3 linked regions of the Pelodiscus sinensis genome follow. The protein of the gene in region 2 interacts with the protein of the main gene of each other region in a biochemical or structural test. Links are inferred from orthologs where the notes say so. Each region holds a gene or a part of one and is shown on either strand. Other genes may lie near its edges.

Region 1 (9,485 bases), on a different chromosome or scaffold from region 2:
CACACACACACACACACACACACACACACACACTTTCTACCATCTTTCTTTTAAATCCTCAAGATTCAGCAATAAAAACACCACAATGATGATTAAAAAAAAAAAAAGCATTTGTCACTGATAAACATCGTGCTTCTTGGTTACATCAGGCTGGGTTTCTTTTTTAATTAATTTTAATAACATGGAAAATATATATTATTTCAGCATATTACAAAAAAGATAAATACAATATAAAATTCTGTCGAATAAATAAGATTTGTATAAATAATTTTGGTTTCTGTTCTCTCATCGCCACCACAGTAAACAGCTTGTTTGGTTTTGCTTTCAACAGCAACAGAGTTAAAAAGCAGGGAATTGTTAGCACGCAAGCGGAACATGAAAAATCTCCACCGGGCCTGAGCTGGAAAGAAAGGGCCAAGAGGGCAGCCAGGAGATCCCAGCAGCATACCAATGTTGCTGAAATATTTAGTGCAGGTCCCAAAAGCCCAAGCTGCAGGTGTCATGTGACCAGACCCATAGCTTGCCTTTAAGAAAAAGTATGTTTTTAGCCTGGGGGATTGGGGGGGGGGGGGGGGGGAAACGGAGGCAAAGGGGAACCCTGAAGGTGGTTCTAAAGAGCTGCAGCCTCTTTAAGACTTTGGGGAGGGGTCCGGAGTTTGACCACATGCCGGCAAGCAAGAGGGGAGCACTCTGCAGGCTCACTTTGTGCAAGAGGTAGGCAACGCAAACTCGGCATCCCCTCCCCCCACCGCCGCGGAGTCGGTCCCTGGCACAGGCAGACCAGCACACTGTGACTTTAGAGACCGACCCGACCCGCCCATACAGCCAGGCGAGTCTGAGTGAGCTTCACATGGGGAAGTGGCACAGAAGCCCCGCCCTCCCGACCCGCGTGGATACTGGGGGAGAGCCACACCTAGATTGCAAACTGCCAGCTCTCAGTGCTGCCTTACTCCCCACTTCCGGGCTGGTGGTCCGATTGTTATCCCTTTAAGGCCTCAGACCTTTCCTGCTCTAAGTAATTCCCCTTCCCCCCTTTTGCAACAGAGCTATCACCCCCTCGCTAAAATAAATACTCCACATATGCCACAGCCTTACGTACTGCACTAACTCGGTCGGCTGTCTTGGGGACTAGTGCATTCCCCTCCCCCAACTTAAAGAGCTGTTTCATACAAGCCAAGTCCAGCAGTTTTCACAGGCCCCAGGATGACGGCAGACTGCGTAAGATTCCCAAAGGGATCTGCACCACCAGTCAATCGGAGGGGTCCGGAAGCCAGGGTTACTCTGTCCCAGCCTGGGGGAAGTTCTCCAGTAACACATACAACGCCCCTTGCTTGTTAAACGTTACAGTCGGGGTGGGCTGTTACTGGAGTATCTTTGTGATGCAGAAGCTAGGTTGTATATGTGGCTACTTAGCATCCAGGCTTCCCACTGCACAAGGCTACAGCTCTATCCGTTTACTCCATTATTTCAAAGATACTGGAGGATGCTTTGGCTGTTGGGCTGGGACACTACCCCCACCGCTCACCCTGCTCAGCTCCTCCCGAAAGGGGATTAAAAAAGAGGATGGATCTGAGCCAAGAAAACAATCACCAGATCAGGGAGCCCTTTCTGAAATATTCACAGCATGAAATCAGGGCTCCCCATAAAGGTGGGGGAGCAAAGCAGCACCATGAGAGCCAAATGTTCCCCCCCAGAAACCCCATTTGCTGAGGCAGTCCTCCCCCAAATCTGCTACATACAGCACATACAAGGGCACCCCCCACTCCGCTTGCCCCAGAGTCAGTCTGTTTGAGGATGCACACTGGCCCCGAGGGGCTCCCCTTCACCCTCCGTACTGAAGGCAAGTCCAGAGGAAAGACTGAAGTGGGGGAGGCATGGGGAGCAGCAGGTGAGCACTCCCGACGGATTTTGGGGAAGGCACTTCGGCAGCATCAGCTGGCACTTGTAGGACAATCAGTGGGAGGAAGGCAGGCAGGATGACGGTCTGTAGACGGAAGGGGCACGTGGCCAGGGCATTTAGGGCCCCTCCCCAGGCACAAGCAGAGCCATCAGTGCTAATGCTCGGCAGCAGAGACAAGTTCCTTTAAGCATGGCTACAGCCAGCCAGGCAGGGAGCTAGCCTTGCCTGGCAGGCATCTGGGTGCTTGTCCTACCCCCACTGTGGGGAGCTCATGTCCCACACTGGGGGAGGCCACCCCAACCCCCTTCCACCACCTGCAGACAGGAGTAGCTCATGCCAACATGTGGCTGGACAGTTGTGCCCAATGGGCACCCACTCCCCTAATATCTGGGCCAGCAGCCAGAGGGGTTGGGTTGTCCAGAAGGTGTCTTGGAGGCAAGCCCAGAGGGTCACCCAGGAGCAGATCGCAAACTTGCCCCATCAATGCATCTAATAACGCCCCCAGTCTCTTGTCCTGCCCCCCCCTCCTGGGCCTTTATCCGATTCCGCCCTCCCCTGCTGGGCAGCAGGGCCACTCACTCCGACACGGAGATGCGGTTGAAGATGGGCAGACGGTGGGCACTATTCCGGGTCCCAGCAGTGGGCAGCAGCTCGAAGACAGGCGATTCGGAGCCACTCAGGCTACCCGAGCTGCTGTAGCAATCCTGGTCGGAGAGCGAGTTGGACGAGGGGGTCCTGGGGAGGCTGGAGGCAATCAGCGTCCCCGGGGCGGCAGAAAAATAGTCCCGGGAACTCTCGAAGATGCTCTGCCTGGTGCTGCCCCCACAGCGGCAGGTGCAGCACCCTCCAGAGTGGGAGGTGGCCACGGTTTCTCCCAGAGTGGCCATGCGAAACACGGGCTCCGAGCTGAGATGGGTGAGCGAGGATGCAAGGAGCTCGCTGGCGGGAGGCGGGGAGATGGACGGAGCCCGGGTGAAAGAGGCCGGGTCGGGGATGCTGGGCGGCGGGGAGCCCTGGCGGGCTGTGGGCACCCCGGTATAGCTCAGACTCTGTCGCAGAATCTGCGGGGAGGCGGACAGCCCTCGCTCTTCCGGGTAGTGGACAAAGTGGCAGCGGGAGCCGTAGGGGCACTCGCCGTTGAGGTAGAATTTGTGACACAGCTCGGTCTTGTACTTGGGGTGGCGGCTCAGGCTCCGCAGCTCCGCAGCCCCATGGGCAAACTGGCACTTGGCCCCGTAGCGGCAGCGGCCCGTCTCGCTGAAGGTCCGGCACAACTCCGTCTTGTAGCGGGACGAGAGGGCGGGGGCCGGCGGGGGCTGCAGTGGGGGGAAGCCGGGGGGCGGGGGTGGGAGGGCTTTGCCCTCGATCATGCTGAGGGAGCGGTCGGTGCGGAAGGGCGGGCGCGGGGCTGCTGGCTCAGGCAGGGAGAGCAATTGCTCGGTGCTGGGGCTCCAGAGGGTGCGCAGGGGCCAGATGTGGGTGTCGCTGCCCCCCAGGTGCTCCGAGCTGGCAGAATGGCGGCGCTGAAAGGACTCATCCCGCTCCTCACCCAGATTCAGGTTGCGGAGGTTCTGTGGGGCAGAAGGAGAGGAAAAAGGGGGCATTAATGCCCAGCTCAGATACCCCAATCCTGGAGGCTAGGGACACACGGCTCTGCCATGCCCTCCACCCCCCCCCCCACAGGACACAGACACCCATGGGGCTGGGTGAGAGGCCCCTGGGCACGGCCCTGTGGCCTACATCGAACTGAGCACCTGGCTCTGCTCAGTGCCAGGCCCCCTCCCAGGAGGCCAAGCTCTGTGGTGACTCAGCCCCTGAATGGCACCGTGCCAGGGTTATTTATAAGCATCCAGGCCTGGCCACAACTAGGCCTTTTATACTGGCAGGCCCCCCCCCCCCCGCCCCAAGCAAGGGGCCTTCTGCCAGCCTAGTATAAGGGGCCAGCCCCCAGGAGTGCTGGGGCACTGGGAGCAGAGAGTGAGGTGCCCCAAGAAGTCCGCGGGGGGGGAGAAATACAGAACTGGTGGAGGCAGACTCCCAGCCTCTGTGTATGCACCATCCCGGGGAAACCGCCCTCTCTCCCTGACTCTTTCCACTCCCCCCACGGCTTCCCCACTGCCCCCCCCCACTCCAAGGGGGGGGGCGCACCACTGATCCAGAGAGGAGCCCTGTTCAAACACCGCCCCCACGCACAGCCTGCTAGATGCACCCCTCCCTCACTTTCCACTGCTTCCCGTAGTTGCCAAATCCCCCCCCCCCCCCGCGCCCCTCCCCAGCCCCTCCGTCTGCCATGGGGGCGGGGAGGAACACCATTCTAGGTCACTGTAACCCCTCCCTAGCCGCTGGGAAAGTCTCGGCCCCCCCCCAACAGGGGCGAGGGGCACCTTCCCTGGAGCCCCACCCCAGCAAGGCGCAGGGGTCGCTCCCGGCGCGAGGAGCTGGGGACGGGCATGGAGTTCACACGGCCACACCCCGCTTCACTACGCTTCGTTTACCGAAAGCGGAGTAGTGGGGAAGCGGCGGGTGAGTCGCACAAACATCGGGGGGGGGGGGGGACGGGACAAGTTCTGATTCCGCCCCGGGGGTGGCTCGCGAGGGTCCTTCGGTCCCCGAGCCAGCCGCCAGCCAAGCGGCGTCACTTCGGGAGGAGCTGGCATTAGAAACAAGGGACCGCGCCAGCGGGCGGGCCGGGCGCTGCTCCGGATCAGAGTCCCTCGCCTCCCGCCCGCGCGAAAACTCGCCCGTGGAGACGCAAATCGCGCCGAATTGGCAGCTCCGGAGTAGAGCCGGTTTGGCAGCTGCCTGGGCCTTTTCCCAGGGGAGGGATAAGGGGGGAAAGGAGTTTCTTTTAGAGGAGGGGGCTGCTTCCTAGCCCCCCCCCCGATTTTGGGCAATCGGGTCGCCCAGCCCGCGAGCAATTGGGGGCAGCGCAGCGCTGCCAAGTCCCGCCCGGTCCGCAGCCGCTTACCTCGTACAAGGCTTTTACATCCATGATCGAGCTCATCGCGATGCTGAAGAGGCGGCGGGACGACGGGCGGGCGGCGGCTCCTTCTTGCCTTCCTTCCCCGGGTGGGAGTCCGCGAATACCCCCCAGGGCTCAGCCGAGCTTTGTGGCAGGCGGGCGGGCTGCAGGGCCTTATATAAGGCGGCCGCGGACCCGCCTCCCATGACTTCATCTCGTTACAATGGGAAGCGAGAAACCCGCCCTCCGGGGGCCCGGGGCCCCGCGCCCGGCGTGGGAAAAGACCAACCCGGGCGCTCGGGGGCGGGCGAAGCCGGGGGGGGGGAAAGGGGGGGGTGGAGTGAATTGCTGGGGGGGGGAAGGGAGTGAACTGCTGGGGGGGGGGGGGCTAGGAACGGGCCTGGGAGGCCACCGTCCTGATACTGGGGGCTTTGTCTCTGCTCCCCCCCAACAAGCTGCTACCCGCTCACCCTGGGAACGGGGGTCGGCCCTGCTGGGAATCCCCCCCCCCCCGGCTGAAGGGGGCTGCGTCTTTTCTGCGGGGGCACCAACTTTGGGGGGGTTCTGAGGCCGGGAAACAAACTTTTCCGCAGTTTCCATTCCTCCCAGCAGAGGCCGCTCTGTCCGCGGCCCAGGCCGCCACCCCCTCCTGCAGGCTCCAGGGCCGGGGGGCCGCAGGGCGAGCGCCCGGGAGCGGGCGGACTCGCTCCTGCAGCCCTGCCGCCCAGCCCAGGCAGCGGGGCACCGCGCGCCCAGCCGCTGGCGCACACGGCAGCGAGGCCTCTGGGCTGCTCTAATGCGTGTCCGGGCCCTGCACAATGGGAGCGGCGAGTCCTGTCCCCGGCCAGCCAGAATGGGCTGGCGACGCTCCCTGTCCTGTGGCACAACTCTCTGCCATGGGCCCTGGGGGGCAGAGAACAGCCACAGCGCAGGGCGCTCCAGGCATGGCCCCGATCTGCGCCCTATGGGCCCTGGGGGGCAGAGAACAGCCACAGCGCAGGGCGCTCCAGCCATGGCCCTGATCTGCGCCCTATGGGCCCTGGGGGGCAGAGAACAGCCACAGTGCAGGGCGCTCCAGGCATGGCCCCGATCTGCGCCCTATGGGCCCTGGGGGGCAGAGAACAGCCACAGCGCAGGGCGCTCCAGGCATGGCCCCGATCTGCGCCCTATGGGCCCTGGGGGGCGGAGAACAGCCACAGTGCAGGGTGCTCCAGCCATGGCCCTGATCTGCCCCCCTATGGGCCCTGGGGGGCGGAGAACAGCCACAGCGCAGGGCGCTCCAGCCATGGCCCTGATCTGTGCCCTATGGGTCCTGGGGGGCAGAGAACAGCCACAGCGCAGGGCGCTCCAGCCATGGCCCTGATCTGCGCCCTATGGGCCCTGGGGGGCGGAGAACAGCCACAGCGCAGGGCGCTCCAGGCATGGCCCCGATCTGCGCCCTATGGGCCCTCGGGGGCAGAGAACAGCCACAGCGCAGGGTGCTCCAGCCATGGCCCTGATCTGCACCCTATGGGCCCTGGGGGGCAGAGAACAGCCACAGCGCAGGGCGCTCCAGGCATGGCCCCGATCTGCGCCCTATGGGCCCTGGGGGGCAGAGAACAGCCCCAGCGCAGGGTGCTCCAGGCATGGCCCCGATCTGCACCCTATGGGCCCCGGGGGGCGGAGAACAGCCACAGCGCAGGGCGCTCCAGGCATGGCCCTGATCTGTGCCCTATGGGTCCTGGAGGGCAGAGAACAGCCACAGCGCAGAGTGCTCCAGGCATGGCCCGGATCTGCCCCCTATGGGCCCTGGGGGGCAGAGAACAGCCACAGCGCAGGGCGCTCCAGCCATGGCCCAGATCTGCGCCCTATGGGCCCTGGGGGGCGGAGAACAGCCACAGTGCAGGGTGCTCCAGCCATGGCCCTGATCTGCCCCCTATGGGCCCTGGGGGGCAGAGAACAGCCACAGTGCAGGGTGCTCCAGCCATGGCCCTGATCTGCCCCCTATGGGCCCTGGGGGGCGGAGAACAGCCACAGCGCAGGGCGCTCCAGCCATGGCCCTGATCTGCCCCCTATGGGCCCTGGGAGGCGGAGAACAGCCACATCACAGGGCGCTCCAGCCATGGCCCTAATCTGCCCCCTATGGGCCCTGGGGGGCAGAGAACAGCCACAGCGCAGGGCGCTCCAGCCATGGCCCTGATCTGCCCCCTATGGGCCCTGGGGGGCGGAGAACAGCCACAGCGCAGGGCGCTTCAGCAATGGCCCTGATCTGTGCCCTATGGGTCCTGGGGGGCAGAGAACAGCCACAGCGCAGGGCGCTCCAGCCATGGCCCTGATCTGCGCCCTATGGGCCCTGGGGGGCAGAGAACAGCCACAGCGCAGGGCGCTCCAGCCATGGCCCTGATCTGCGCCCTATGGGCCCTGGGGGGCAGAGAACAGCCACAGCACAGGGCGCTCCAGGCACGGCCCAGATCTGTGCCCTATGGGCCCTGGGGGGGCAGAGAACAGCCAGAGCACCGTGGGGACTAGGAGAAGGTGGGAATTTTCCCCAGGTCTCCAACACCCATGTCCCTATGTTGAATCCACCTTTCGGCCCTCAGTTTGCTAGCCAAGGACTGTTTCCAGCGCCCATGAAGCAGGTGGTTTCCGGAAGCAGCGAATTCGGCTCCGGGTTCCCCTTTCTTGCAGCAAGGTGCATGGTCAACATTACCGCTTTTGGAAACAAACAAACGAGCAAGTGGGGAAGTCCCTCCCTCCCTGTCACGGGTGGTGGGTATAAGAGTCAAGGGAAGACATGGCTTTCCCTGGGTCTTAGTGTCCACTGTCTAGGGTTGATCCTTCTTGCAGGCTTCCACATCTGGCTGCTGCCTGGGGAATCTTCAAATTTAAAAGTGAAAAACCTTTCAGCTTACCGGACTTATGAGCAGAACATTTATATTGTTGAAGAGCCGTTCAAATGGCAGTGGAACCATTTAACAGGCAGTTGTGCATTACAAGTCCAAGATACGTTCCAAAAAACTTGGATTTATAGTGAAACAAAGCGGGGAATTTTTTTCCCCGTGGCTGACTTCCATTTAAGCAAATTGGAGGAAAGTGTTTCGCATGACTTGTAGCAGGGAATGAGAGGACTTATAGCGCATCAGTTCCTTCAATCGTCAACGACTTCAGTGTGGAACGGATGTATACTAGGGTGACATAGTGGGGATGCCCTGTATTGTAATATTTACTCAGACCATGTTAGTCTATAAGACCTTAGTTTAAAATTTGCTTTAAAATATTTCATTAGTGTATTTCTGATGATTATAAAAGTCACATCTCTAAAAAGTCCTTGCATAGATATTTTGGGATGAAATCGGAATATTCATCTTTAGCCTTACATTCGTTGATCATTAGACATGTAAATTTTTAAATACACCATTCAAAAGACCACCCTTATCTAAAATACACATTTTAGTTTTAATTACTATAGTACAAAAAGCTTGCTTCTAAAGTCTCCCTTCTTTTCTGTCCACCCCTGTAAATTGACATGGGCATTTGATGGCCTTGTCTACGCTGGCATGTTTTGTCACCAAAATCTGCCATTTGGCGACAAAACAGTGAGCGCATTTACACTACAATGCAACTTTTGTCAGTAAGAACACCCAGTTTTGGCAACACAAAGCTGCCACCCCCAGGAGAGACTTTTGTCTTTTCCCTCCCTTTATTGTCAGCGAAGACCCAGCGTGGCCTCTGCTGTTTGTTTTGTGGAGAGAACTGGTTTCTGCCAGGAGCCCACAGTGCCTGCCGTGATGGATGTGCTCAGTGGTTTGTGAGCGCTGCTGCCCTGCAGACGTTAGCCCCTCCCCTTTCAAAGCTCCAGGAAGTATCTGACAGCTGAGTGAGCTGCTCCCTTTGGGGAACAAAGTGCAAATGATTTAAATGCTCCTGTTCTGCAGCTGATGGGGGGCTGGAGAGAGGGCTGTGCTGCCTTGACATTCCTTAGCACAGATTGCTCACAGAGCTAGGAGGAAATCCCAAGAAGCACAGGGATCAGCTCTGCCTTCCTGCAGGACTGCGCTGTGGGATGCTTACCCACAATGCTTTGCTCTATCTGTCCACAGGGTGCTAGCCACATGGTCATAAAATGTTGACAATGGGAGGCAGAAAAACCTGTCTGAGTGGTTTTCACACTTTTGTCACCCAACCTTTCTTCACCCCTGCTCCCATGCCCTTTTAAGACAGCTTTTAAAGTAGGGGTGGGGAACCTTTTTTGGATAGGGGGCCACTGATCCACAGAAAAATCAGTTGGGGGCCACACACAAGTGAAAAGTTAAAAGCAAACAAGCAAACAAATGCAACCCACCTGGCCCCCAAGAGAAGGAGGAAAAAACTCCCCTGAAGTTCCCTGGGGGCTGGGGAATAGTAGATTTTGTGGGGCTGCTTTTGGCTCCAAGGTAGGGCCCAAAAGGAGGGGTTTAGTGTGTGAGGGGGGCTGCCAGGGACCAGTATGGGTGGGAGGTAGGGGTCAGGAGTGGTGTGGGAGTGCAGGGTCTGGGTGAGAGAGAGGGTGCAGGAGTATGCTAGGGGAGTGCAGGTTCTGGGTGGGAGGCATAAACAAGGCAGAATCTAGCTTCCTGTGTATACCAGAAGCCGTCCTGTCAGTGT
Region 2 (9,485 bases):
AACATACTCATGGATTTGTGTGATCTGCAAGGCTGTGTTCTCACTGCTGTTTTTTGTAAACTAGCTAGATTAAAGCTAGCCCAGGTACACCTACATGAGCTGCAAATCACACCCTAAGCTGCAGCACAGATATACAGGCAGTCCCCGGGTTACATGGATCCGACTTACATCGGATCCCTACTTACAAACGGGGTGAGGCAGCCCCGCACTAGCTGCTTTCCCCCAGCAGACCACGGACACGCGAAGCTAGCGCACCCCCCAGCAGGCCAGGGAGACGCGGAGCGGCTTTTCTCAGCAGACACCTCAGCTTGAGAATAAAGGACTGAGGGAAGTGAGGTGTGGGAGAATAAAACTGAACTCTGGAGAAATGTTTGGCTAGGGTTTCCCCTACAATATGTACCAGTTCCGACTTACATACAAATTCAACTTAAGAACAAACCTACAGTCCCTATCTTGTACGTAACCCGGGGACTGCCCGTAGTCTTAGGCCACATTTTTACTATAGGGAAGATCGACCACTATGGCGGTTTATCTTGCGGAATTTGATTTAGCGGGTCTAATAAAGACCCGCTAAATCGAATGCTGAGTGCACCCCCATCAACGCTGGTACTCCTTGATTCATGAGGAGTAAGGGAAGTTGACAGGAGCGTTTGCTTCCATGAACCTCCTCTTTTGGAGACGGTGCTGCAGGTCACATTAAGGGATGGTGACTCCAGCTACACAATTAACAGAGCTGGATTTATGTATCTTTATTCAAACGTCCAGTTAAGTATAGACAAGGCCTTAATTTCTGTGTGCTGTGTGCTTCAGTTACCCATCTGTACAATGGGTGTAATAGCACTGTCCTAACTCCAAGGGGAATTGTGAGAATGAAGACAGACTCTGAGGTGCTCAGACACTGTGGTAATGAAGGTCACATAAGTACCGGACATAGTCTTGGGTTGCGAGCTGGGACTGAGGAGATCTGTGTCTGTTCTTTGCTCTGCCATTCACTGCTTGTGACTTTGGGTAAGTTACCACAACTCTCTCTGCCTCATTTCCCACACTCCACATGAATGCTTTGCCATGTCACTGTTAGGCCTGTGCGTGAGTGTTGGTGAGAGCATCAGGCACTACAGTGATGGGCGCCAGAGAAAATCCTATATATGAATTAAGAGATAAATACAATTAGGTGTTATTAGTGACTCCAAAAAGGCATGGCTGAACCTTGACAGTGACTCTTCTATAGTCACTGCATAGCAAATGCTTCTAAAGTGCAGTCCATTTCACACCCATAAATGAAAAATCTCTGCCTTCCTTCCCTGTAGCCCCAACTAAAGAGCTTTTCATTGGCTCTCGCCAGATACCAGGTTGCTGAATGATAAATTGGCTCTTGGCAAGGATTCCTTATCTTTGTGGCCCAGTGCTGAGGTGTGTGAGTTTCTTTATTGAATTCTGGACTGAACATGGAAGCAGGTTAATCTGCTCTCCACGGGATGTCCTTTGAAGAACAGTTTTTTACCTCTTATCCTTTCCCTGACACTCCCGCTGCTGGCTCTATTTTCCATGTCTCTTGTCTTCATGGGAATTGATTGTAGATAAATGCTCATCAAAAAACCAGGGCATTTTGGCAAATGTAATTATTTACCCATTGACATTTTAATTTGTAATGTTGTGGATGCCTTCGGGAGACAGGGAAGAAGCTGAAAACGGTGGGAAGCTTGTTAACTGGCTCCCCGTTGGGAGGATCTGGAAGCCTGCGGTGCACTGAACTCTTGCTATGTGTTTTGGTTTTATCACATAAATTGCAAAATATCCCCTGATTTCCCTATTGCTCACTTGTCGCTTTATAGGGGATTCCTGGGTAGTACAAAAACAACCAAAGAAAATTCAAGGAGGCAAGATGGCTGATGATGTCCTAGGTGACCTCCTAGTACAAATAATCAGGCCCTCACTGCTGTGGTGTCTGAAGCCATGTCTTCGCTCAATGGAAGATCGATGCTGCCATGATTGATCTTCTGGAGTTCGATTTAGCAGGTCTAGTTAAGACTCCCTAAATCGAACTCAGAGGGCGCCCATGTTGGCATCCAGTTCTGTTGCTTCTGCAAGGAGCAAGGGAAGCCATCTGGAGTGTTTGTTGCCATTGGCCTCCAGCTGTGGGGATGGGCGGGAAACTCAAAACAAGGTACACCGACTCCAGCTACATAATTAACACAGCTGGACTTGCGTGGGACCACTTCATCGTGGTGGGACGACCAGCAGTGGCTCTAGAATTTCTGCATGAGGAAGGACACCTTTCTGGAGCTCTGTGAGTGGCTCGCCCCTGCCCTCAGGCGACAGGACTCCCTCATGAGACCCACCATCCCCTTCAAGAAGTGGGTCACCATCGCCCTGTGTAAGCTCGCTACACCAGACAGCTACTGATACGATGAGAACCAGTTCGGCGTGGGGAGATCATTATGCAGGTATGGCACTCTCTGGCTGTTGTCCCAGGAGGATGATGGAAAGAGGGTGGTGTTGGTGTTGGTGGTGGAAGCTTCCTTCCTGGGAGGTTTTTCAGTCCTGCCTTCATAAAGCCCTGCCAGGGGACGGAGTAAGTAGGGTTGCTAACCTGGATCAGAAGGGGTACTTTTTGATAATCCTGCAGGCTGTCATGGACCACCATAGTCATCCATGGACATCTATATCTGGTGGCTGGGTAAGGCGCACGACATTCATTATTCCAAAATAATGTTTCTGTGTACCCTTACTGTACCAAATGTCACTTATTTATCCACATATCCTTATTTTCAGAGGCTTTCCGAAACCCATCCTTATTCAGACAGCTCTCTGGTGTTGGTCTTTTGCTGGGAGGAGGAGGGAATATTTGAATGAAAGATTAATGGTCCTCTTGTATTTTGGGGTGACCCCTGTGAGTCCCAGATCAAGGCCAAAGGCCCTTCATAGCTCTCCTTTAAGCCCTGTTTCCAGATCAGAAGTGAAGCAAAGTATTCGCTCTGCAGAGGGGTCAGTTTCACCCTGTCTTTGTTATTGTCCATTCATGGTGAACATCACTGCATTTGAACAAGGCAGTGTGGGCACAAGCGGTTCTTATTCTAAATGTGTCTTCTCCTCCTCCCCTAGCACCAAGCAATCCCAGGCATCAGACAGGACCCCACTGTGCTAGGCGCTGCACCAGACACAGAATCAAAAGTCGATGCCCACCCTATATTTTAGCAGGCCCTTCCTGTTGGACTCCCTTGAACAAATTTCTCTCCAATCTTCTTGCTAAAGATTTCTCAGGCTGTCTCCCTTCCAGTAACTGAGCGATAGCCTTGTAAGCAGGGTGAGGACCAGGGGACTGACGTGACACTCAGGGTAAGATTAGGACTTGCCTACAGCCAATGGCACAGTTCAGATGTGGAATGGTTTGATGGGATGAAGGGGTCCGCCTCCAGGAAGCACCAATTTAATTGCAAATGTTTTATTTCTTAGGGATGGGGGGAGGGCGGGGGGACCCTCACGGAATCCTGACATTTGGTGATACTGGGACAGCTAGAGGAAAACTGGCAGGTCTGTGTGGGGTCGGATCACTGGGGGGAGGGAGAGGGGCAATCTTCCCAGTCTCCTCCCCTGTGGGTGAAGTAAACATGCCCCCAACCTTTGCAAATTTGTTACCTCCCCCAAATCTGAGATTCCTGCCCAAAGTTTAACTTCCCTCCCCTCCCCCTTCCTTTCTCCCTCCCACCCCATCGCCTCTCCTTCCCTTTCTCCTCCCTCCCCCGTATCCACGCCCCTGGGCCCGCCCCGCCACAGGGAGGCAGCCAATCCACGCGAGGCTGTGACATCAGTGCCGTGAAATTGACCCGGGGAGAGAGTCTGCTACATTGTAGCAATTCTTTTTCCTCTCTTCGCCTTCCAAGAGCGAAGCGGCCGGGTACAGGGACGCGCCTGGGGAGGGGGTGGGGGGGTTGAGGGGTGGGGGGCCCCCAGCAGCGTCTCCCCTTCAGAGAGCGGGGGGCTGAGCAGCAGTCTCCGCCCGGAGCCTTCCCTGGGACAAGGGGGGATTGTTTTCTCCCCCCGTTTCTAAGCGGCGGGGGATTGAGTTCCCCCCCCCTGCGCCTGTTGAGATCAAACTTCCCTCTGTGGGGGGGGAGGAGGGGACGGACGACAAGGGCAGGAGCCGCTGTGGCTGCCCCGGCTTTGCTGCTATGCTGTCCAACTCTCCTAGCCCCAACCCCCAGGTGCTGTTCCCCACCCCGCCTCCGCCGCCCCCCCCGCCGCCCCACCAGCACCCCCTGCCCCCGCAGCACCCCCCCATCCAGCAGCAGTTCCCCCAGTTCAACGTGAAATCAGGCCTCCAGATCAAGAAAAATGCCATCACGGATGATTACAAGGTCACCACGCAAGTGCTGGGTCTGGGCATCAACGGGAAAGTTTTGGAAATCTTAAACAAGAAGAGCGTGGAGAAATTTGCTCTGAAGGTAAGCTGGCGGCGAGGGGGGGGGGCGGGAGCTGGTGTGCCCCTCCCATCTTTTCCTCTTTTAATTCCACCCTTCTTATGTCCCCCTCCTCCCTCTTGGGCACAGGCTGTTCTTGTAGGAGTGACACAGAAGTGTCACTGTCTTTAGAGAGGCGGGCTTCTGAAGTTACTTGGGGGGGGGGGGCATTTGAGCCATGCTTGCTTGGTGTAAATTATCCCCTCCCTGGAATTGACGGGCAGAAAAGATGGTGCTTTAAATTCTGTCTAGGCAGATACCGCGGAGCGCCCGTGGTAGCCTCTTCCTCTGCTTTGGGTGTGGGCCCAAATCCCCCACCCCCTACGGCGAAGGTCTACCGGGGAAGTTCTGCCTCTGATATTTTTTTTCCGGAGGGGGAGGGGGGGGGTTGTTGGATGATCTAATCCTTTGCCTTTTGAACAAATGAAACTCAGCGTTTCATTCCCTCCCCCACCCTCCGTTTGCAAAACAGGACTTCCCAGCGACAGAGGAGAAACCCCCCAGTTAGGAGCTCCCCGAGGCCTGCAGTGGGATAGGACCCTTCGTCTTGCCTCTCAAAGAGTTGGGCTTTTGTGTGTCTGTTTAGTCGTGGTCTCCTTGGATCCACTGATCAAAGCAGTTGGTGTTCGCAGAGGGAGGGCAGGCCGTGTGCTCTGATTTCTTTTCAGATCAATTAGTTTGGTAAAAAGGCTGGTGGGAAGGGGAGAAGAAAGAGCAAAGAGATCCTCCTCCCTCCAGCACTTATGGCCTTGGGCACTTCAGTGATCACTGGAGGAAAGAGTGTATCTTGTCAGAGAAATAAATTCCGTTGTGGTTCTGAGAACACAAATGCCCCCCTCTTAGGTTGTAATGTCTTTGATTGTCCATTCCCCATTTTCTGTCTTCCCCTCCCATCTTTGCTGTGCTGGTTAGTGGTTTTTCTCTGTAAAGTCTGACTTGACTAGGCTTCCAAAGAAAGAACTTGAAATTTACCAGCTGTGCTTAGTCCCTGACAGGAAAGGAAAGGAACATTTTTTGCTGTTTTGTTATATGTAAATATAACAAAGAGAATCTGTTTTAAAGACAAGTGGTCTCTTGGGATGGAGTCAGAACCAGTAATTCAGTGGTTTATAGGGATGCAGTAGAGGAAAAAAAATGATATTGTGGAGCGTAACAATAAAAATCAAGACTTTAAAAAAATCATGGACTTTTAACAAACATACTTTATCTGTCTCAGCTGAGCGCAATTAAAAACAATGAGGTGGGGATAGTCAGTTTCACTTTCTGACTTTATTGCACTCCATTGCTGTGTAAACTAGTCTCATTAAGAAAGACACAATACAGTTGTGTGGCCTTTTAATTTAAGACAAAGCAAAACAGCATTGGGAAGGGATGACTTAATGACCTGAGCCTCGGGTTTAAACTCTACTGAAACCTCTGGACTTGTTGATTTAATCTAGTAAGTTTACTCTGTTGTGTTTTGTGGATGAGCCCTTTAAAATGCATGCTCCTTTACGTGGACAGTAAACTTCCTGTAGCGCTTTGTGTAAGAATAGATGTTTGTCTGGTTTTCCCTGTTCAGTAACGCCCAGTTGTTCTACCACTGTTCTTCTCCCCAGATGTGGTTACATTTGTGGTTCTAGATCTGTATACAGAAGTCCTTAACATGCATTTGATTAGAAGGTTTATCAATACATAAGGTATTGTACTAAAATATACTATTTTGCATCCAAAAAAATTTGATGGTTGCCCTGTTTTTTAATATATTTTTTTGGAGTGAGGAAGGGTATTTCTCTGTTAGAGGGAACCTGGGGAAAATGTAAATGGATTGTGATGGGTAATGCTAAGTATTAGGAGAGATGGGTACAATTTGTCTCCTCCAGTGTAGCTGAACATTGCATGTCTTAAACACAATTTGTTCCCACACGTTAGCTACTCAAAAGCACTATACGTTATCTTGCTTAATTGTGAAGATTTAAAAAAAAGCCTCCTGTTTTTACTGCATTTTTTCTTTTAAGCCAACATAACACCTTAAAGCCAACAAGTCACTAATCCTAAAAGAATACTGAAGAATTTCATGTAAAAAATCTACTTCTGTGTTACATATCCCCTTCAGAAATGAGGTGTCTGTGTGTGGGGGAGGGGAGATAAATCTTTAAGGCAAATACATTATCATAAGGAAAAGAAGTTCTTCAACTTACTCAACTGAATGGCAGATATTTCACTTTTCCCCCTCTGGAAATAAGGAAGTTTCTCATTAGTTGCACTATTACATTTGAGGAAGACAGTGACTTTTTTTTCTTTAGGTTGTAAATGAGTGGGATCAGACTCTGTTTTGACACTCACTTTTCTCCATTAATTTTCAAGTTGACTCAACCACTTAAATAGCAGTTGCTAACACTTCCCTGAGTGAAATAACAAAAGAAGGAGGAGGAGAGGGGAATGGCATATGGAAAGGCACAGCTTGTGTCAGCAGTCTCCCCATATCAAAATATTGGCTAAGATAAGATCATAGCCTCCTAGCTCTGATGAACTTGTCAGTACCGGAGTGGGATACTATAGACACATTCCGGATCTAAGTTTGATGTATTATTTATACAGTTATCCATAAAGTGATTTTAAAAATAGGGAATTTTTAGATAGCAAGAATTCAGCATAAATCATGGACTTTAGCTTTTTGCTTAGATCTCATCCCCTGCTTGTTTCACCAGCTTTTTACCATATAACAAGGGACATATTACGACCACACACATCTACAGCTGTCCATCTTATCTCCCTGCGCACGAGAGATCTCAGAAGGAATGAGAGAAAAATGGAATCAATTCACAAGGTCTAATATATTCAACTCTTCTTTGAATTTTTTCCTCTGAGAAGTTTTTTAAATGTTTGTTTTCCATTCCCCATGGTCTTATGGAGAGTTAGAGGTTTAGTGGAGCCATTGAACGTGCCAGTGTCAGTTCAAAGGGCAGCGCAGCTGGTGCTATAAGTGACTCCTTCTAGCTCTGTAGAAAATGCTGTGCTGTTAGTTCGGGGTGTTAGCAGACAAACTATACTCTGTTGATATCTAACGGACAAGGGTGTATGACAAGCTGTTTGTTTGTCCGGTGAGTTTTGGATACTTCCTGTCAAGATATAGGTCTAAAAGGTAAAGGTGTAGTGTGGATAGATCAAAATGCTGCTTTTTGTTCTTTGGCGGTGGATCTGTTTATAAACTTGTAGAGTATTGTTCAGAACTTCTGAATGACTCAGAATCATCCAACACAGATCAACACCATTTGTTGGGAAGGAGGCTTTTGTAAAGGGAAATCATGCCAAAGACTCTATTAGAATTATTTGAGGGGGATCAACAAACATATAGACAACAGCATTCCAGCTGATACAGACTACTTGGACTTTCAGAAAACCTTTGGCAAGGTTCCACGTGAAAGGATCTTAAGCTAAGTAGGCTGCCAAGAGGGAAGGGCATATCGTGGATTATTAACTGGTTAAAAGATAGGGAACAAAGGGTAGGAATAAATGGTCAGTTTTCACATTAGAAAGAGGTAAATAACAGGCTCCCCCAGCATCTGTACTAGTACCTGTTCAGTTCAACATATTCGTAGACAGTGGTACTATTTTGGGATACCGGAATAGCTATTCCGATCTTTTGAGTGCACCTGTTATTTCGGAGTAACGGGCGCACTATTCCAATGTCCCTGTAACCTCGTTCCGCGAGGATTAAAGGATGTTTCGGTTAATAACTAGTGCTTTATTTTGAAATTAACTCAAAATAAGCTACACAACTTGCATAGCTCAAATTGCGTAGCATACTGTGAGCTAAGGAAACAGTGTAGATGCACCCAAAGGGATCTCACCAACTGGACGACAAAATAATAGAAGTTTAGTGTTGAAAAGCACAAAGTAATGCCCATTGGGCGATATAATCCCAGCTGTACATACAAAATGATGGGGTCTAAATTAGCTGTTACCACCGAGGAAAGAGATCTTGGAGTCACTGGGGAAACATCTGCTAAACTGCGCAGCGACAAGCAAAAAAGCCAATTATCTGTCAGGAATCATTGGGAAAAAGAGTGATTGATAAGAAGACAGAAAATATCATAATGCCACAATATAAGTCCATGACATGCCCACACTTGAATACTGCATGTAGTTCTGGTCACCCCATTTCAGTAGAGTTGCCAGATGTCCGGCATTGGCCCAGACAGTCTGGTATTTGTGGCTTCTATCTGGTAAAAAAATCACAGAAAATACTGGACACATAAAATGTCCGGTATTTTTTGTTTTTCTTGGCTGGAAGGCCGCTTGGGACATTCTGGGGGGGGGGGGGGGGGGGGGGGAGTGTGTAGGGATTTAAAGGGGCCATGACTCTTTGTTTGGTCTATGTTTTCCCCCCTTCAACCAATTTTTTTCCTGTGGTGTTCGGTATTTTTTGTGAAACTATCTGGCAACCCTACATTTCAAAAACGGTATATTAACAGGCCCAGCCTTAGAGCAAGGTGAGCAAGGCGGTTGCCTTGGGCCCTGTGCCGTCAGTGCCCCATGCTGCCCGGTGCCCGGCTGATCGCTCGCTGCCCTGGCTGGGAGTCATCCAGCCATATGGTGTAGCCAACCACAACGGCCCTGCAAACTTTTTGGCCAGGCCTGTATGTTAAAGATGGAAAATGTACAGAGAAGGACAACAGAAATGATTAGGAGTATGAAAACTCCCATATTTGAAAGATTGGGACAGTACAGCTAAAAAAAAGGGAACACGAAGGGGGGAAACGATAGAGGTGTACACCTCTATCATGACTGGTGCGGAGAAAGCGAACAAGGGAGTGTTATTTACCCCTTTACATAACGCAAGAACCAGGCACCGCCCAATTAAATGAATGGGCAGCAGATTTAAAACAAACATAAGAAAGTATTTGTTCACACATTCCACAGGCAACCTGTGGAGCTTGTCACGAGGGGATCTTGTGAATGTCAAAAGCATGACTGGGTTAAAAAAAGTTACGTTAATGAAAGATGGGCTGGTCAGTGGCTATTAGTCGGGATGGTCTAAGTGTC
Region 3 (9,485 bases), on a different chromosome or scaffold from region 2:
AGGAGATTCAGATACAAATATCAGAAGAGAAAATTTGTGGGAAAAGCCTGAGTGACTCTGAAAGTTAAGACAAGAGGAAGATCCCAATGTAAACTTGACAAAAATCAAGCAAACCTGGTTGAATAAGCCACTGCATGTGTAGTCTTAGCAGAAACCACGCACCGGTTTGCTTGTTTATATGGAGCAGCGTATTCTCATCTCTGAACAGAGGTAGAGTATCAAAGTTCTCTGTGCAGACTATGGGTTGGGAGGAAGCAGTCACTCAAATGCAGAATATCTTTAAAAACAGCATCTCATTTTTGCAAGAAAAAACAATTTCACTGTCAGTTTCTTGAAAAACTTGGGGTTTATTGATTTAAACTGCAAACAGTCGTTACAAAAGAGTTTTTTTTAAATAAACTTACAGAGGAAAAAAAGCAATGTAGTGAACAGTAACAGGGGAAAAATTACATTCATTGTTTTCTTTGTGCCAGTCCCGTTCACCTAAACAAGGAAAACTCCAAACTTGGAATACAAAAAAGGCAAAGACAAACTGCATTTGGAATGTCTTCAAATAGGCACTTTAAGCCAAAGGCTTTTGTCTCTCTTAAGAAGCTATCAAAAAAGAGGAAGTAAAATGTCTTCTTTCCATACTGTCTTACAACAGAACTTATACACATACATTCTAAAGCCCAGGTGTGTATGACCTTGGGGGGGGAGGAGAAGGAGGAAGAGGAAAGGCAAAGAAGTACATTAACTCAATTTGCAGTCCAACACAAAAAAGGGGGACATTCTAAAATAAATAATCCAAACACACTTTTTGCATTTTTTTAAATTAATTTTTCATTTTTTTAAAATAAAATAACCAAAGTGTAACGTTACAAAAATGTCATTGTAGTATAATATATTAAACTGTGGGGGGGGGGGAAAGGAAAAGACACTTCACAATCTTAAGATTAATATGGAAGATCATAATTTAAACATAAAAGAATATATTCTATGGATTCATCATCCCGATAAATATGAACAAAATTAACAAAAAGCATAGGTTTCGGCAATAAATACGTTTTGATAAGTTAAATAAGCTTTTTTATATTGTTGTGCAGTGACAAGCAAAATTTGCTCTCCAATTTCTGAAAAGTTATACAAAATTAAAAACCCAGAAAAAATAATAAAAAGCTTGGCGTGAGTGCTCTAAGATAGATCTAATGTACTCTAGAGCAAAACCATTAAAGCTATGTCTACTGGAACTTGGAATACACGGAACTTGCGTGTGTGGAATGAATTCCATTAGCCCACCCCCTCTATTTTTATTTGTTTGTAAAGATGTCACACATATACATGGGGAACTTTTAGCACCAAAATCAAGTCTTTCATAGTCCATCTGGCTTTTTCCCCCCCAATCACAAGTCCCACTCATGTTACAATCTTTGTCCATTCTCAGCTTTTCTTCCTGCAGACCTGAGCAGATCCAGGCAAGATTAGTCTTTAAAGGGGAAAAGGATTGGATGTTAACAGCTGTCCACATGCCATAGGTCTAGCAGAGACTGGCCAATGGGAAGGTAGGGAAGTAGAAACAATGCATTATTGTGGCCAGTGGAGGGAGCACTTGGTTCTGGATATTTCCCGCACATCTGGAAGTGCACAGAGCTTTAAAGGAGGCTGCTGGTGCCCTCTGCAGCCAGAGAGGTAATACAGTCACAGTGAAAATGTTCAAAGGCACTAATTTTGTAAACGGTTATTGCTTTTTATTGTAATTTGGCACTTAAGGTTTAAGCCAGTGAGTCAGCTACAGGCAAGTGGACAACCTTTATGTTAACACCTAACCCTGATAATTGGGGGGCATTAAGGGGGATGGGGGTATTTCAGCTTAGCATTGTAATAGAGGTGGGAAGAGGGCAAAAGGAAAACCCAGTTTAGTCATCAGAGATGGAGAGTCTGCTGAAGATGGGAAGACGTCTTGAATTATCCAGGATGGGTGAATCTGAGCCACTGTGGCTGCTGCTGGAGCTGCTCAGATAGCCTTCCTGATCAGAGAGGGAGTCCTGAGGACTTGGGGGCGAGTCAAACATATTGGGGGACTCAGACATAGGCCTGAAGAGGAAAGCAGTGGGTGAACCACCACTGGACACCTGCACCCCTAAGCTAGGGGCAAAGAGATTGGCCAGCTCCTGGCTGGAGAAGGTGAAGGGGTTGTTGGTACAATCTGGCAAGGTGGGAGAGCCCAGAAGGTCATCAGCACTCAGGATGGGTGGTGGGGTGACTGAGGTGGGGCTGTCCAGCAGCCCACTGGCAGCAGCGCTGGGGAAGCCAGCAAAGCTGAAACTGTGTTGGAGGCGGGGTCTGTCAGCAATGGTGGGGTCCCGGCCCCCGGCCACAGCACGGCGCTCCTCGGCATTGTGGATGAAGTGACAGCGGGGCCCATAAGGGCAGAAGCCAATGGTGTGGAAAGTGCGACACAGCTCTGTCTTGTACTTAGGATGGCGGGTTAGGCTCCGCAGCTCATGGATGCCGTGGGCAAACTGGCACTTGTCACCATATTTGCAGGCACCGTTCTCCTCGAAGGGGCGGCACAGCTCTGTCTTGTAGCGGCTCGAGTTGATTTGTCCCCCGGGCTGCTTCTGCTGAAGCAGGCGCTCGCCACCTTCGGAGAAGGAGCGGTCCCGAAAACGGCTTTCCCTAGGACCCAGCACAGGGGCCGGCTCCCCCTTGAGGCTGCTTAGGAGCTGGTTCTGGTGAAACTTGGAGTTGGGCAAGGTGACCGAGTGCCTCCTGGGGAAACCCCCGCCAGCTGGGGTGCCCACTGCCTTCCTATCCAACAGACACCCTCCAACACCTGAAGGGCTGTAGTTCAACATCTTGTTACTCTGTGAAGAGAAAGCAAGAAACAGTCACCCAGTCTGCTCCAGCTCTCCCCTGCAGCTCAATCCCAGTTAAACTGACCACATCCATTCGGATCTCAAAGCTAGCCCCACTCTCTCTGCAAAATAGCCCTGCTTCAAATAGCCCACTTCCTAGAACAGCTAATCAGCCTGTTGCCTGGGGCAGTGGGTGCCATGTAAGGACCACAGGTGCCCCACCTACCCACAATGACCCTGCAATACATATAACCTTCCCAGCCTTAGGCAAGAACTTGGGTGCCCCACCTACCCATACCTAGTGCTGTGTCTGCAAGAGCCAAACCCACTATTCTTCTACAAAATGTATACAATCCTCCCCTAGGGCGAAGTAACTGCCCACTCCACTTCACAGCCAAACCCACAACCACATCTCCACCAGGTTCAGGACCCCTTTCAGGCCCAAGAACCAGTATTTCTTGTCATCTCTTTTTCAAGTTACTCCTCCCTGTCCATAGACCTCTCTAAGTTTGGAGGTTATTGTAGAAAGCTTTTAGAATTGTAGATTTTTCTGCACTACAGAAGAGTGCAGAAACATTATCTTGGACAACCCTATGTATGAGACACAAATTGGTAAATGCATAAGACTTTTTTGAAAGTGTACTAATTACTGATTTAAATTAATCTCATTTCTTGGTCCTCCAGCACAGCAATGGCATTTCATCTGATCCAGGCCAGTCTTCACTCTTAACCACAAGAGGATTCCTTTGCAATTAGCCTTTGGGCTGCAAGGAAAGTCTGGCAGGGATCAGGAACCAGTTACTTCAGCTGCAGACTCAAGTTTTAAATATTAAAACTCCTCTTTTGGGGAGAGAAATTATAGGGGTTTGCTACAGTCGCACTTACTGTGTGAAAAGCAGATTTAACAGTTATTTTTAAAAAGGGGAGGCATAGCCCTTGCTCTCACATATTGAATGACAACTCCTACCCCTGTTTTAATAGTAAAGCTTCATTGTCAACTCTTAAGTAAACATACAAAAACTGAGTCAGACAAGAATTTCTATTTGTAAACATTCTATGCCGATCATTTCAAACCATGGGGAAAAAATCTCAGGAGTAGGAGGAAAAAGTACTTTTCTCCCTCTTTAAATCAGCTCTTATAAACTAAGAAATGTTTAGAAAGAATTTCGCTACACAAAGGATAAATCCATGGGGCTGCAGAGGAGCACGGGGGACAAAGCTGATCTGAAGAGGAGGAAAGAAAGAAAAGTAAAACTGCAAGAGTGCAGCACACTAGCCTGCAAAGGTTATTACAGTAACCGCCTCACCCAGATCCTTTTGCCCTAAAGTAAATGTGCAACTGTAGAAGCAGAGCTAGCTTGGGAAAAAAATCATAGCAAACAAGAAGCAGGCACGTTACAGCAGCAGCCTAAAACTTAAGCCATTAAAAGTGGCCGCGCAAAAACCTCAAGAAAAAGCTTCCCAGAGTTCCTTCTATCAACTCCCCCCCGTAACACAGCTCTCCAAAGCCAGGGGTTGCCTTGACACACGCATAAGCACGCGAAAGAGGAAAATCTGCGTTTCTAGTGCGTTTAAAAGTCTCAGTTCCAAAGCCCAGGGAGACGAGAAACGTGCTTCACCAGTTGAACACAGCTACTCGGGTTCCTGGCAGTGGAGGCTTGAAACTATTCAACACACATCAAAGGCAACGGCCTGGAGGTTTTTGGGAGGAGGGCGAAGGAGACGGTGGGGAAGGGAACGCAGCAGTTTGGCCACACGACCGAGTACCTCTGCACAGCTTTCGCAGAGCGGCAGAAGCCGGTTTCCAAAAGCCAGCCAGCCCGAGGAGGCGGTCACGCCCTTGCGCAAGTCCGCCGGGACTGGCTTAGCCCCTGCTAGCAAGAGAGCGGGGGAACAACCCAGCCACGATCAGCCCGGCGGGGCGGGGTGGGGACCAGACTCATTTCAAGCAGCGAGGGCCGTACGAGCGCCGAGGCCACGCGCCCTGCCCGCGGCGAGCGCCAGAAGGGCTGGCGAGCAAAGTGTCGCCCCAGCGCAACTCGCAGCGCAACCCCAGCCCCCGTCGCCCACGCTGGAGGGGCAGGTCTGGGGCAGCGGGGCCGGGCAGCCCCTCCCGCGCACGAGCCCATGTACCTTGCACAGCACTTCGCTCAGGTCGAAGATGGTGGGAGACACCAGAGCCGTGGACATGCTGGGCGATCGCGGGGGGAGGGGGAGCAGGAGGGTGGCAGCGCAGCAGCAGCAGCCGGCGCAAGGGATCGCGGCGCGGTGAGTAAGGCACAGCCTCCAGCCCCGCTCCGGCTCCTTCCCCCCCTGCTCCGCCGCCGCCGCCGCCGCGCCTGGCTCCGGCCCCAGCTCGCTTTCCCCCGCCGCGCCGCCTAAACTCGATTTATAAAGTTTGCGAGCGGCCAGGCCGGCCGGGGCGGAGCTCGCGGCCCATTGACAGGCGGCCGAGGGGGCGGAGGAGGGCGATGATTGACATCCGCACTGACTCACCCCAGGCCCGAGAAAACTTTCGAGAGGAAGAGGGGGGGGGGGGGCAAAGCCCGAGCCCGTTCAGTGCCGCGCTCGGGTGCGAGGAGGAAAGTTTTGCAGAGTGCCCCGCCTCCCCCCGCGTGCATGTGCAACTTGGTTGTGATTAGAAGGCGGGGGGGGGGGAGGGCGCGCGCTGCTTTGTGAGTGCTGGAATTATGCAATGGGCGGTGACGTCATGCGAATCCGCCCCCCCCCCCCCTCGCTCGGCTTGCACTGAGCTTTTGCAAACGGCACGAGGCCTGGAGCTGAGTCTGTGCAGCGCCCCCTCCCCCCCCCACCAGCTCCCCCGCTTCCCTTGCAGCTCGCAGCCCGCCGGAGAGCGGGCAGGGTGCGTGCGCGAGCAGCTGCGTACTTTGTGGTCGGGCCGGGCGAGCAGAAGAACAAAACAAAACTTGATCTTTTCCGAGACTCATCTGCCTGTCTCCCAGCTGTAATTACTGTGAAACTGACGAGGAGGGCAGCCTGCGCTCGGGTCTGTGAAACAGGGAGGAACGTTTGCTTTTTCCGATCGAATCTCTCTGCTCCCTGCTGGACACCAGTTGCATGCTTATGGGTTGGCCCCCCTCCCCCATGAGAACTAGTCTTTTAACCCCAGTAAGCAGGGACCTAGTTTTCAGCGGCTTAGCTTTCCTTCTGACTGAACACATTGGCAGACATCTATTTACGTTGATCTCTGAGAAGGCGATCAGAGAGCAAGCCACAGCACGGACAAAAAACAAGGCCCTTTCAGTTCCCTTGAATTTTGTGTTTGCGCGGGCTGCGCTTTCTTCGTGAGTGCCCGTTGCATTTTGTGCTCCTGTCCCTTCGCCTCTTTGAATGTAATACATGGTTTTTCAGTCCATCCAGGTTTGATTTCACTCCTTTTTTTTTCTTTTGGGGGAGTGAGAGACAAAAGCGGGACCCATTGATTGAACCATGACAGACCGACTTAAAAAAACAACCCATAAACTTCTTTATCTGCTGTTTGCATCAGGCAAGCAACAGGTTTGCAAAAGCTGATCAGTTTCCCCTCTGAAGCTCTGAAATGGAATACTAGACTGAAGTGGAAATATTAAACTGTTGTTTTCTTTCCTATATATTTCCATTTGTCCTTTGTCGCCTCCTCGTCCTTTTTACAGTAAGTTTCACCCATTCCGGACCTCAGATGTTTATTCCACAACATTTTTAACTCCTCGATCTGTTATGAAACAATGTGTGTGTTAAGTGTATTTTCCATTGCAATATAATTAGGTCACCTAATTATAAGCACGTTTCTTTAGAAGGGCAAAATAAGAGTATGATTCTTTTCCTCTCCCTGAACAAATTTTAACAAAAACTTATTTAATCCATGTAAAATAAAACCCCAGAACACTCACAAACTGTTTAGACTTTAATGGTTTAAGCTCTAAGGGCTACAGCTGAACTGGGCATTGTATTCACAAGTAGAAAGCGTTGTTTCCAGTTTGGGCTGGCTTGGATTTGTCTACTTTGATTTAAATTGATTGAATCCATTTTTAACATTGCTGCTGCCTTTGCATTTTTGCAGGCTGACTGTCTTCAAGTTGATTCACATCCCCCACCCTCTTACTCTTACCACTTTTTTCCAATTTTTATTGAAACCTGGCAGGCTCTGGAAAGGAAATAACTCACATCCATATTAATTTAAATCATTAAAATATGTGTTTAGTCCTGAAAGTGGTGTTTGCTAATTTCTCCCTTTGCCCTCCATTCTTTACCCAGTCCCCAAAGGGCACTTTTTAGCAATTTTAAATCATAAAGCTGGGGAGAGGAGTAAAGTTTCTTAGCAAATAATCGATTCCAGATTTTAGTACACAAAGAATTATGTATACTGATATTGATGGAAGGAAGGGGGGAGCGGTTTCTTTATAAGAAGCTTACGTTTCAAGGCTTCTAATGTGGGGCTCCTTAAATGTGAAACTTTTGTTGGGTCAAAACTTTCAGTGCTTCTTCAGGCAACACTGGCCCTACAGTTAGTGGGAGTGAGAATGTTGTCAGAGGAAGGACTGTAGGATTTGGTCCCTTGTTAATCCATCCAGAATGAGATTTGGACTATGAACCCCTCCTTAAAATGCATCTCACTATGGTATTGAATATTCTGCTTCCTCACGTAGCCCCAGACTTCCACAGAGAACTGAAACCCTAACTGCAGAGTCCAGAGTGCGAGCCCACCTCAGAGAGAGCACTTTTAAAACGTAAAACAAATGATCCCTGTTCCTATTTCCTCTTCTGTTTGCTTCAGTCTCAGGAACTGGGCTTTAAGCTTGTCTTCCTGGCTGCTGATCTTTCCCCCCCTCCTTCAATATCCAAGAGCAGCCAAAATAACGAAGTGAGAGCAAACACCCATAGAGTCTGGCCTTTCCAGATTTCTTTTTTTTTTTTTTAATTCTTTATTTGAGGCTAGAACACTAGTTCCTCTAATTTTCCTTCTCTTTCTTCATTCATTTTTGTTTTGTTTTTTGCCAGAAGTGAGAAGCAACCAGCAGAGAGAGCAGCTTGAGCATGTTATTTTCTGCAGTTGTTTACTGGCTCTGTGGATGGTGCTTGTTCCCAGAGCTCTGAGCCTCTCTATAATTAAATCCTTTTTAATTGTTAGGTTGGAAACGTCATTCCAGGGACTTTCCAAGGGTTACCAAGTCCAAATGAGGAAGCCAACACAGATAACTATTTCATGACCACTTTGCCTGGAGCCTGGCTTTATAAGTGAATCTGATTGCCTGTACTGTGTACAGAGCAATACTGATTACTCAAAGGACTCGGGATAAGAGTGGAAGGTGTGCCAGAGTGGGCGCTATCCTGAATTCCATGCACACTGAACTCATGCGGGTTTGAATGTGAGTTTGTGTGCACAAGAAATGCAGGATTGGACTCTCTATTATATGCCCCATAACAATCAACTCATCTCAGTGTACATCGATTATATTTAGCATTATTGCGCATATTTTGTGCGTTATATTAAATGACTGCAATATACACGTACTTACTATCGGAATTGTAGCTTTCTGTTTCAAAACGTTTGTGCATGTAGGATCAAATGCTGGTTGCACTGATGTCCAGTAAGAATTTTGAGGGAATCTGGATTTAGACTGTGAGAGCCTGACTTTCAGCCACGAGGTATGCCTGGATTTGTGCACAAGCAAATCCCTCCTTTGAGAATGTGCCTGGATAAATACAAACCAGACTAGCCATATGCACACACAGATTAGGAATTTGTGTGTGCACCTATGCATGCCTCTTTGGAGGCAGAAAAAACAGCGGTGTCCATTCTCAAATATAACATCACCATCACATTTTTGCACTGAGTTTAATTATGGCTTTTGATTTTTAAAAGAGTAAAAGAAACATTTCTAGCCACCACAAACTTGAGTAAACACATGCATGTGCTCATTTGAATGTAATGTGCCCTCTGGAGTTCATGCAGTAGCTCTTCAATGAAGCACACCCTACTTTGCAGCTTGGATGGTGCAAATGGACTTGGGAGCCAGCACTGTCAAATTGGTGGTCTTCTTCCTGTGTAGGCCTCTATTGTAGGCGCTACTTTTGGATTGCCATCACGTGAGCCTTCATCAACAGATTCAGGCATAGGCCAATGGCTTGTCTTCTTACTGATCAAGCTCACCCACTGACACCATTTTAAAAAGAGAGGGAGAGATGAGTGTTAACGAGTCCACATGCACACAGAGGAACATGGAAACTGCCAGTGTGGCTCAGACGTTTGGCCCCTGTAGGCTAGTATCCTATGTCAGGTAGTGGCCGGTACCAGATGCTCCAGAGGAAAGGATGAAAATGCCTGCATGAGGCAGATGTAGGATAATTACTTCCCCACCCCCTCTACTGGTCTTCTAATAATCGCTAATAGTTAAAAGTTGGCAATCCAAAGGCTCCACCAGATCTGATTGCCTTTCTCCTGAATTACCTTTATCTTTTCATGGGACGTGATGCCTTCAATGGGAGTTTTATCATTGTCTTCAAGGGGTGTAGCCTTTATTGCCCATGGCTGTTCAGTTCCCATTTTGTGTGCACTTTGTTTCAGATTTCAATGCAGAGAACCAAAGTTTGCAAAGTGGAAATGGATGTACACTGTAATATTGTTTGGGCTAGATGGCAAAGATGCCA

Evidence for each region.
Region 1: of the proteins of MAPKAPK2 (region 2) and ZFP36, one has a biochemical effect on the other in vitro, tested with the Homo sapiens proteins (2 studies listed by BioGRID). The link is inferred for Pelodiscus sinensis from reciprocal best matches to the Homo sapiens genes MAPKAPK2 and ZFP36.
Region 3: of the proteins of MAPKAPK2 (region 2) and ZFP36L1, one has a biochemical effect on the other in vitro, tested with the Homo sapiens proteins (2 studies listed by BioGRID). The link is inferred for Pelodiscus sinensis from reciprocal best matches to the Homo sapiens genes MAPKAPK2 and ZFP36L1.

What each region holds. Positions count from the first base shown.
Region 1 is NW_027465849.1:4,199,780-4,209,264, reverse strand, and holds ZFP36 (mRNA decay activator protein ZFP36), read right to left. Parts: upstream 5,029-9,485; 5' UTR 4,905-5,028; coding exon 4,869-4,904; intron 3,472-4,868; coding exon 2,476-3,471; 3' UTR 134-2,475; downstream 1-133. UniProt on the Homo sapiens protein: Zinc-finger RNA-binding protein that destabilizes several cytoplasmic AU-rich element (ARE)-containing mRNA transcripts by promoting their poly(A) tail removal or deadenylation, and hence provide a mechanism for attenuating protein synthesis.
Region 2 is NC_134737.1:5,842,211-5,851,695, reverse strand, and holds the start of MAPKAPK2 (MAP kinase-activated protein kinase 2), read left to right. Parts: upstream 1-3,872; 5' UTR 3,873-4,169; coding exon 4,170-4,442; intron 4,443-9,485. UniProt on the Homo sapiens protein: Stress-activated serine/threonine-protein kinase involved in cytokine production, endocytosis, reorganization of the cytoskeleton, cell migration, cell cycle control, chromatin remodeling, DNA damage response and transcriptional regulation.
Region 3 is NC_134714.1:71,499,449-71,508,933, reverse strand, and holds ZFP36L1 (mRNA decay activator protein ZFP36L1), read right to left. Parts: upstream 5,222-9,485; 5' UTR 5,028-5,221; coding exon 4,971-5,027; intron 2,847-4,970; coding exon 1,896-2,846; 3' UTR 328-1,895; downstream 1-327. UniProt on the Homo sapiens protein: Zinc-finger RNA-binding protein that destabilizes several cytoplasmic AU-rich element (ARE)-containing mRNA transcripts by promoting their poly(A) tail removal or deadenylation, and hence provide a mechanism for attenuating protein synthesis.